Linked DNA regions of Caenorhabditis elegans. The protein of the gene in region 2 interacts with the protein of the main gene of each other region in a pairwise test. Each region holds a gene or a part of one and is shown on either strand. Other genes may lie near its edges.

Region 1 (3,378 bases), on a different chromosome or scaffold from region 2:
TCCAGAATATTTGTGGAATTCATTGTGGAATTGAAATGTAGAAAACGGGAAAGTTTTTGAGAACTAGATGAAGCAGTGTAAAAATTTTAATTATAATATTCTGTTTATTTAAGGAAATTTTTTTTTAATAACACGCCTATAATGGCATTTTACATTGAAAAAAAAAAACTGAAACAGTAAAAAATTTGAAAATTGTTTTAAAAAAGTTGGTTTTCTTCAAATGTGGCAAAATAATACAACAAATAATATGTGAATTATTCAGAGGAAAAAACGTCATTAACAAATTTTGAAAAACATACACACTTAAAATAGAGTTTTCGAAACAGTAAAAAAATTTTCATAATTTAGAAAAAAAATTTGTAGAAAATTTCACTGGATGCTTAGAAACCCATTATTGAAAAATCAATATGAAAAAACAAAAAAAAACCCACGAGGTCCCTGCGTTAGCCACGTCACAACCATTTCATCCATTTTCCCGCTCAAACTGAGATGAACCTGCTCCACCCGATTCGCTGTCACATTTTCAGAGAAAATCAATAAAACCAACGAAACTAGCAGTTTTCTCATCGTTTTTCTGGGAAAATGATGAGTTTTCCATCTGAAATTCTTTGGTTTTATAGTTTTTAATCTGTTCCGATTCGCGTCGTTTCCGATGTCATTCTTCTTGAGTTATGACTGATTAGCAATAAAAAAATGATAAGAACTGTAGATTTGATGATAATTCGTTTGATTGATGGGGAAAAATGGGGAAAGTTAATTTTTTGCAAAAAAAAATGCAAATCAAATAATAAGATTTGCATCACTAGAAACATTAAAAAATAAAGGTGAAACAGAAGATTTTGTCTTAAAAATTTCAAATTTCTTGCAATTTTTTTGTAAAAAAACTCAAATTTTTCACATAATCATTTGTAGGAATTTACACTCAAAAAAAAAACTGCGTGGGCGTGTACTGCAGAAAACGTAATATTTAGGCCCCGCCTTTTTCTCGTCCACTAACGGAGAAAATGCAAAAATTTTGACCCCAACCAATATTAGGCCGCCGACATATCACGGGTTCCGCGCGCCGCTATGTTTGACTCGCAGCAGGCGGAGACAGCTCGCCACGCCCACAGCGAGCTAAACGCAGCGACGCGCGGAACCCGTGAGATGTCGGCGACCTGAAATTGGTTGGGGTCAAAATTTTTGCCTTTTCTCCGTGAGTGGACGAGAAAAAGGCGGGACCTAAATATTAGGTTTTCTGCAGTACACGCCCACGCAGTTTTTTTTTATTTTGAGTGTAGTCTGATCTATTTGCGTTTGACCAAAAAAACATTTCTAAGTGGAAAAAGCTGAACAGTAAACAGCCACTTAAGTTTGTACTTACTAACATAAGATGAAACAGTCATATTATTTTCCATTGTTTACCTTTTCTTGCTCATTATTTCTTTTAAACAAGCACAGAGTTTTTGCACAATATAATTTCTCTGCTTCTAATTTCTCTAATTTTTTAACTGTAACTATTAACTGCTTAGAAGACAACCATGAAAAAAAAAAAATTTTTCTGTAACAGGAATTTTTTTGAGAAAAAAAAATCATTTTCCAGATTTGACTGGAAATAAAACTGTTAACGTTCCCCATGTTTTTCAGATTGAATATTTTCATTTGGGAATGCAAGAAGAAAGTTATTACAATTTAACAGTTGGCGATACACATGATCGACTGGTAGGCTCTTTTTTTAAATAATTAAATTGTTATAAAAAATATTTTCAGCACAACTTTCAAATAACCGTCGACACTGACTATCGGAACTTTGTTCAACTAGTCAACACGATGAGATCACCTAACATTGCACAACAAGACCGGGCTTTTCTACAATTACAACAGCTAGGATTACAGCACCCGGACTACATTCGAAAAGCCCGAGTCCCAGAAACCATGCGGCAGTTCGCAGAAGGTGCCGCCGGAAAACGGAGGATACGTTCGTGTCATGGAACATATCTTCATTGGTATGACGAAGGATTGAAGGTTTCAAAAAAGTAAAAAAAAACTGTGCTGATAGAGAATAATTCTAGGTTGACATGAAGTCGGGCGAAGCGGGGACATGTGAAAATTGGATTATTGAGGACTGGAACGAGAAAGTGGTTTTCAGGGCAGTTGATCCACGGGGCAAATATCTAAGGTACGTGTAGGCTCTGTAAAGACATGTGGTGTCAGAGTGTCCCATTTCGGTTAAATATATGAAACTTGCGAGAAATTTAAAACTGTTGCGTGTACACTTATATAGGCCCACGGAGAAAAGGCAAAAATTGGCGCCCCAATCAATATCAGGCCGCCGACATTTGACGGGTTCCGCGCGCCACTACGTTCAGCGGGCTTGGCGAGCTGTCCCGCCCTCTGCGAGGAAAATATAGTGGAGCGCGGAACTCGTAAGATGTCGGCGGCCTGATATTGGTTGTGGTGCCAATTTTTGCCTTGCGACTATACAGTACTACAGAAGCGACTATACAGTACTACAGTACAGTACTTAAACTTCCAACGTATAGAATTTGAAAATTGAAAAGAAAAAACTTTCTAGCATCTAGAAGTGAGCCTAAAAAACATTGCAGAGCTTGCCTGGGGAGCAACCAGCTGACTCTAGTATACATTCCTGAGCCAACGGAACTGTGGAGCCCATTCGAAAATGGCAACGGGACCTGGTCGTTTCTCAGTTCTAACGGAACATGGCTCAGTGCTCACGAAGATGGGCAAGTGTGCACTGTGAAGGACCGTCAAGCGTGTGAAGAATTTTTGTTAGAGTCGTGGTAACTTATTTTTTGTTAATAAAATAAATATTTGATTTTGATACTATTGCACTGCAAGGAACGACTCGAAACCGGGCAGATGTCTGGCCATGTATTAGTGTACAGATGATTCTAGACACTTTTGCAAAAAGTTCAGAAATCGAAATCACAAACTGATAAAATCATAATTAGGTGCAAGCATGTGTGGGTGTATCATTTGCTGATTTTGCCAGAAGAGTGACCATTGATAATAACCTTGAATTTGTGTTATAGGCGAAACAGTGAAAGTTTAAAACTGTCCAAAAATTTATTGAATTACTGTTTCAGATAGTCTACTTTTAAAAACTTGTTTTTTATTATTTAATTATGATCTGACAACTCGTTTTCCAATTTCTAAAAAGTTTTTGTAGGAGTTAATTGAGGTTTAAATTTTAAAATGTTTAATTTATGAAACTGTTGGGAACTGGAAAATTGAAAAAAAAAACTATGTAATTCGTTGCGTTCATCCTTACAATATCTTTGACCAATTGTAGTTATGAAATTATGTTAATTTATGTAAACATTATGAAACATTATCGGTTAGTGGAGGTTGGTCAGCTTACCGTACCAGGCATTCGGT
Region 2 (5,545 bases):
AATGACCCAGTGTAGTATGCACTTCCGATATTTTTCATTAAACCCACCGCGGCAATGCAATTTCGAAGAGATCCACCACGAGTGTTCCCGTTTTCCAATAATGACTCCTTCAAAACGACGACAATTTGCATGTGGAGCGAGTGTTCTAAGGAATTCCAGGGATCTTCTGATTGCAAAAACTGTTTCCGGAGCTGAAATACATAACAAAATTATTTCAAATTCCCCTCGGTAAATATATGTATTCTTTTAAACAAGCTGAAACTCACCCTAGTCTTTCAGGACTTTCAATAAATAGAGTTCTTCGGACCACATCGACAACAGTCGGCCATTAACCAGTACGTCTGTTTTTCATTTCTCTCGCCAAAATTTTCATATGGTGCAATTGTAGTCGGAGTCTTGACAACAGATTGACAAACTTCTATGTGTCATGTAGATGTCCTCCTAAATTAAAAATTGTTAAAATGTGGCAGAAGACACATGCGCAATACCTCAAACATGTCATCACTCAATTCCGATCCAAACTACGATTATCTGATGTTTTCGTATCCATTGTCTTTATCAGAACTTCCTTTAGTCATGCGAGCTGGTACTTGTACTGGCGTGGTGGTCACTGAAAGTAAATGAAATTTCTGTCGGAATTTGTGAGAAAAAATGAAACATGTTTAACTTTGCAAAGCTACAAAAGATTATTTCGATAAACAGTTTTCAATTATGGAAAAAGAAACGAGCAGAAAATATGAAAGCAACAAGGATTTGAAAGCAGAAAACAATAAAAAAAAACTGTGCACCACAACGGTCTGCAGACAGCACTCTATTGTGAGAGACGCCGAGAGAGGGAGGAAGAGGGCCATGTTGCGCAGAGATCACAACACTGCGGGCACTGTGCCAAGTATCATTCCGGATGGGAGACGTGTGTGTGTGTGTGTAGTATAGACGACAAGATTAAAAAACAATGCAAGAGGCGTTTGTTTTTGTAGATCACACGTAGATCACAATGTATTTGTAGATAACAATAAAACAGAAATACGATTTGAGAGATAAATAAACTGTGATCTACGCAAAATTTACACAGAAACTGCTGAAAGTGATGACTACTGTATACGGTTCGAGAAACTTTCGAGAAACTTTCCCCAACAACTTTCTCCAACTTTGGACAACTTTCGGCGAAGAAATACAAGATAGGATATTCAAATGAATGAAAAATGTTTTTTGGTTTTATCAACTTACTTTTTGGTTCAGGTTTTTTTTTCTAGCAAGCCATTTTGTTTTCAAATGCTAATTTGTCTTGTATGTAGTTAATAAACTTCTATTTTCGGTGAACAAAATCTCGAAAACTTCATTTAAAACTTGAAATTCATCAATTCCCACTGCAAACTGCGTATCGGAATTCGGAGTCTCGTTTGGCCACGCCCACTTTGTTGTTTGAACTTCAATTTTGAAATTAACAGTTTAGAGCTCTAATTAGAGCTATATATTGCAAAATATTTCCAATGTTTTGGTGATTAAAAACTGTAACACATTTTAAATAAATATTTTTATGGAAAAATTTCCAAAAAAATCCATGAAAATTCCACAGCAACGGAAGTTTGAAATTACAGTACTCTTTAAAGGCGCGCGCGTAAGAGGATTGCTTTCTTTTTGCTCAGGTCCGCATCGAATCCTGTTGTAATATTTTGCCAGAAGTATAGGTGCATGTATTCTTATTATACTATTGGAAAATCAATAGTTTCCGATACTCTCGCTATGTATTTGTTCAGCCTCTGTCCTCCAAAGTACAAAACCCCCATTTCTCCGCGCAAATGATGCATTGTCCGCAAACACGGCGGCTGCAACTCTGCGTACATTTCGCAACTCTCATTTAATTTTGTTTCCACAGAAAATGCCAATTAATCCGGGGTTTTTTAATTGTTTCAAGCTCAAATTTTGGTTAAAACTGTTATTTTATCTTTCAGGTTACAAAATGGACTACGACGTCATCGCCAATCAGCCTGTGGTCATCGACAATGGCTCCGGAGTCATTAAGGCTGGTTTCGCCGGAGAACAGCAGCCAAAGGTAGGCAATAACGAATCAAAACTTGAGATTTTTGAATTTTGAATTTTAAATCATCTTTTAATTCATTTTTTACAGGTTCGCTTCGCCAACTTCGTCGGACGACCGAAATATCACAGAGTAATGGCCGGAGGGCTCGACGGAGACATTTTCATCGGACCAAAGGCCGAATCAAACCGCGGGTTGTTCTCAATCGAATACCCAATGGAACACGGAATCGTCAATAACTGGAGCGATATGGAAAAAATTTGGGAGTACATTTTCGGACAGGATCAGCTGAAAATCTTCCCAGAAGAGCATCCAGTTCTGCTCACCGACGCCCCATTGAATCCGTTGAAGAACCGCGAGCGATCTGCTGAGATCTTCTTCGAAACGTTCAATGTTCCAGCGTTATATATTCAAATGCAAGCTGTGCTATCGCTGTACGCCACCGGAAGAACGACCGGAGTCGTTTTGGATTCAGGAGACGGAGTCACACATGCTGTTCCGATTGTTAAGGGATTTGCAATGAAGCATGCGTCAGTAAACTCTGGGAAATTGCTTTAAAACACGCCTATGTGGTCACAATGACCGAATATCATGATAAAAAAATTCAAAAAAATTTTCTAGATTTTATATGATTTTTTTTTTTTGAAAGTTGCGAAAATCCCAGTTTTCCCCTAATTCCGGTTTGAATTTCCGCCATATGAATTCGTTCGCTGGAGCGCACTTGCATTTCATTTTATTTTTTCTCATTATTTCACTGGTTTTTCTTCATTCTTTGTGTATTTTTATCGGAATAAGAGAGAAAAATTCAAGATAAATTGCAAATTATTTATTTAAAAATCACTGAAAATGCGTAAAACTGTAAAATTATGAGTTCCGGCGATAGCAAACCTGAAATTAGCTTAGTTCACAGTTTCACCCATTTTCAGTGATTTTTAAATAAATAATTTGCAATTTATCTTGAATTTTTCTCTCTTTTTCCGATAAAAATACACAAAGAATGAAGAAAATCAGTGAAGTAATGAGAAAAAATGAAATAAAAATTTAAATTAATAAAAATAATGCAAGTGCGCTCCAGCGAACGAATTCAATTGGCGGAAATTCAAATAGGAATTAGGGGGGAAAACTGATATTTTTGCAATTTTCAAAAAATCATATAAAATCAGGAAAATTTTTTTGAATTTTTTAATCATGATATTCGGTCATTGTGACCACATAGGCGTGTTTTAAAGCAATTTCTCCATTGGGCGCACTCCACCTTTAAAAAAAGCATTTAATTCTAAAATTTCCTTTTTTCAGAATTCAACGAATGGATTTGGCGGGTCGCGATGTCACCGAATACCTCCGAGTCCTTCTGCGCAGAGAAGGATACGAGTTCCACAGGAGCAATGAGTTCGAAATTGTCCGAGAGATGAAGGAGAACGCGTGCTATTTGGCGTTGGATCCGACGAAAGTGGAGAATAATTCAGTGAAAGTAGTGATTTTTTTTGCAGTGAAAATGAGCTGAAAATCGCATTCTTTCAGTCATCCTACGCTCTGCCAGACACCACGAAAATCGAAATCTCCAACTCATTGTTCCGTGCGCCGGAAGTGCTCTTCAAGCCGGATTTGATCGGAACCGAGTGGCCTGGAATGGCACATGTTGTCAATCAATCAATTATGGTAGGCTCACAGCCTGCTCGGACGAAAAATCACTTTTTCAGACATTTTTGCTTAATTTTTGGTGGAATTTCGTTGGAAAATATTAATTGGCACATAATATTGCTATTTTAAGTGCACATTTTTCATCTTTTAGACTTTTTAACTTGATTTTTCGTTTTGGAAATGTTTTAGCTCTTAAAGTAGAACAAAAATCGAAATTTCTACAAGATTACCATATAAATATCAATTTTCTGTTGAATTTTACCCAAAAAATGCGAAATTTCTTTAAAACGAGCCTAGCCAAGTGATTTTATCGATTTTTATCTTATTTTCCACCGATTTTTCACGTTTTCAGTGTATTTTTACAGGAAGTTTGAAGAAAAGTCAAGAAAAATGCGAATTATCGATTAAAACTCAACATTGAAGGTTTACGCCTTCAACGCTGATTTTTAATTGATATTTCGCATTTTTCTTAACTTTTCCTTCGAATTTCCAGTAAAAAAATACTGAAAACATGAAAAATCGGTAGAAAATTAAAAAAAAAAATCGATAAAACCACTTGGCGCGAGGTTTAAATTTTTTAAAGCTATTTTTCAATTTTTAAAAATCATATAAAATTTAGAATTTTTTTTTCTATGATATTTAGCCACTGTGATATCAGAGGAATTTTTTTAAATAAATTTTCAGTTAAATTTTAGCCAAAAAATGCGGAATTTCTAAAAAAAAAAAACACCCATCAGCTCAAACTAAATATTTCCAGAAATGTGACGTGGATCTTCGACAAACTCTGTACAGCAACATCGTGCTGAGCGGTGGAACGACGTTGTTCAAAGGATTCGGCGATCGTTTGCTGGGAGAAATGCGAAAAATCGCGCCCGCTGACGGAAAAATTCGAATTTCCGCGTCGCAGGAACGAAATTCGCTCACATGGATCGGCGGTTCGATTGTCGCCAGTTTGGACACTTTCCGAAAAATGTGGCTCGGAAAGAAGGAGTACGAAGATATGGGAGCGTCGGCGATGCACAAGAGATTCTTCTAAATATTGAATTTTTTCCCTTTTTTGCTCACTTTTCATCGTAATTTATTTGTTTTTTTTGCATATTTTCCCCCTTTTTCTCCCTAATTTGTTCCATTTGGCGCTGGCTCAAAAATTCTTCAAAATTTTCTCAAAAATAGGCGACCTTCTTCAAAAAATGTTATATAGCCCGATTCTCTGGACATAATTATTCAATTTACCCCCTCCTCCCCCAGTTCCGTGTCCCACTATCTGCTTTATGCCTGTTTCAATTATTATTTTTTATATCTAAACGATTCGATTTTTATGGAATTCTTCAATGCAATTTATTACAGGTTCCCGGCAGCTCAATGGAGCCGCTGCGTCAGGCGGAAACTGTGCAATTTTAAGACATGAGGAAAATATTTTTAAAAAAAACTTTACGGAAATTTTCCGAATTGCCGATTTGCCGGAAATTTCAATTCCGGAAAATTTGCCGGAAATTTGCCGATTTGCCGGAAGTTTCAGTTCCGCAAATTTGCCGGAAATTTTCAATTCTGGAAATTTGTCGATTTGCCGAAAATTTCAATTCTGGAAGTTTGCCGATTTGCCGGAAATTTCAATTCTGCAAATTTGCCGATTTGCCGGAAAATTTCAATTCTGCAAATTTGCCGATTTGCCGGAAATTTCAATTCTGCAAATTTGCCGATTTGCCGGAAAATTTCAATTCCGGAAATTCGCCGATTTGCCGGAAAGTTCAATTCTGGAAGTTTGCCGATTTGCCGGAAATTTCAATTCTGCCAATTTGCCGGTAATTTCAATTCTGGAATTTTGCCAATTTGCCGATTTGCCGAAAATTTCAATTCTGGAAATTT

Evidence for each region. The genes of interacting proteins can lie anywhere in the genome.
Region 1: the proteins of arp-1 (region 2) and ifas-3 interact in a two-hybrid assay, tested with the Caenorhabditis elegans proteins (one large-scale study listed by BioGRID).

Annotation. Positions count from the first base shown.
Region 1 is NC_003282.8:15,949,131-15,952,508, reverse strand, and holds ifas-3 (Ig-like domain-containing protein), read left to right. Parts: upstream 1-1,620; 5' UTR 1,621-1,647; coding exon 1,648-1,701; intron 1,702-1,749; coding exon 1,750-2,004; intron 2,005-2,051; coding exon 2,052-2,158; intron 2,159-2,585; coding exon 2,586-2,784; 3' UTR 2,785-2,817; downstream 2,818-3,378. Other genes in the region: Y105C5B.15 (Purple acid phosphatase), read right to left, coding at 432-567.
Region 2 is NC_003280.10:15,118,349-15,123,893, forward strand, and holds arp-1 (Actin), read left to right. Parts: upstream 1-1,952; 5' UTR 1,953-1,960; coding exon 1,961-2,053; intron 2,054-2,128; coding exon 2,129-2,568; intron 2,569-3,334; coding exon 3,335-3,509; intron 3,510-3,559; coding exon 3,560-3,697; intron 3,698-4,436; coding exon 4,437-4,715; 3' UTR 4,716-4,997; downstream 4,998-5,545.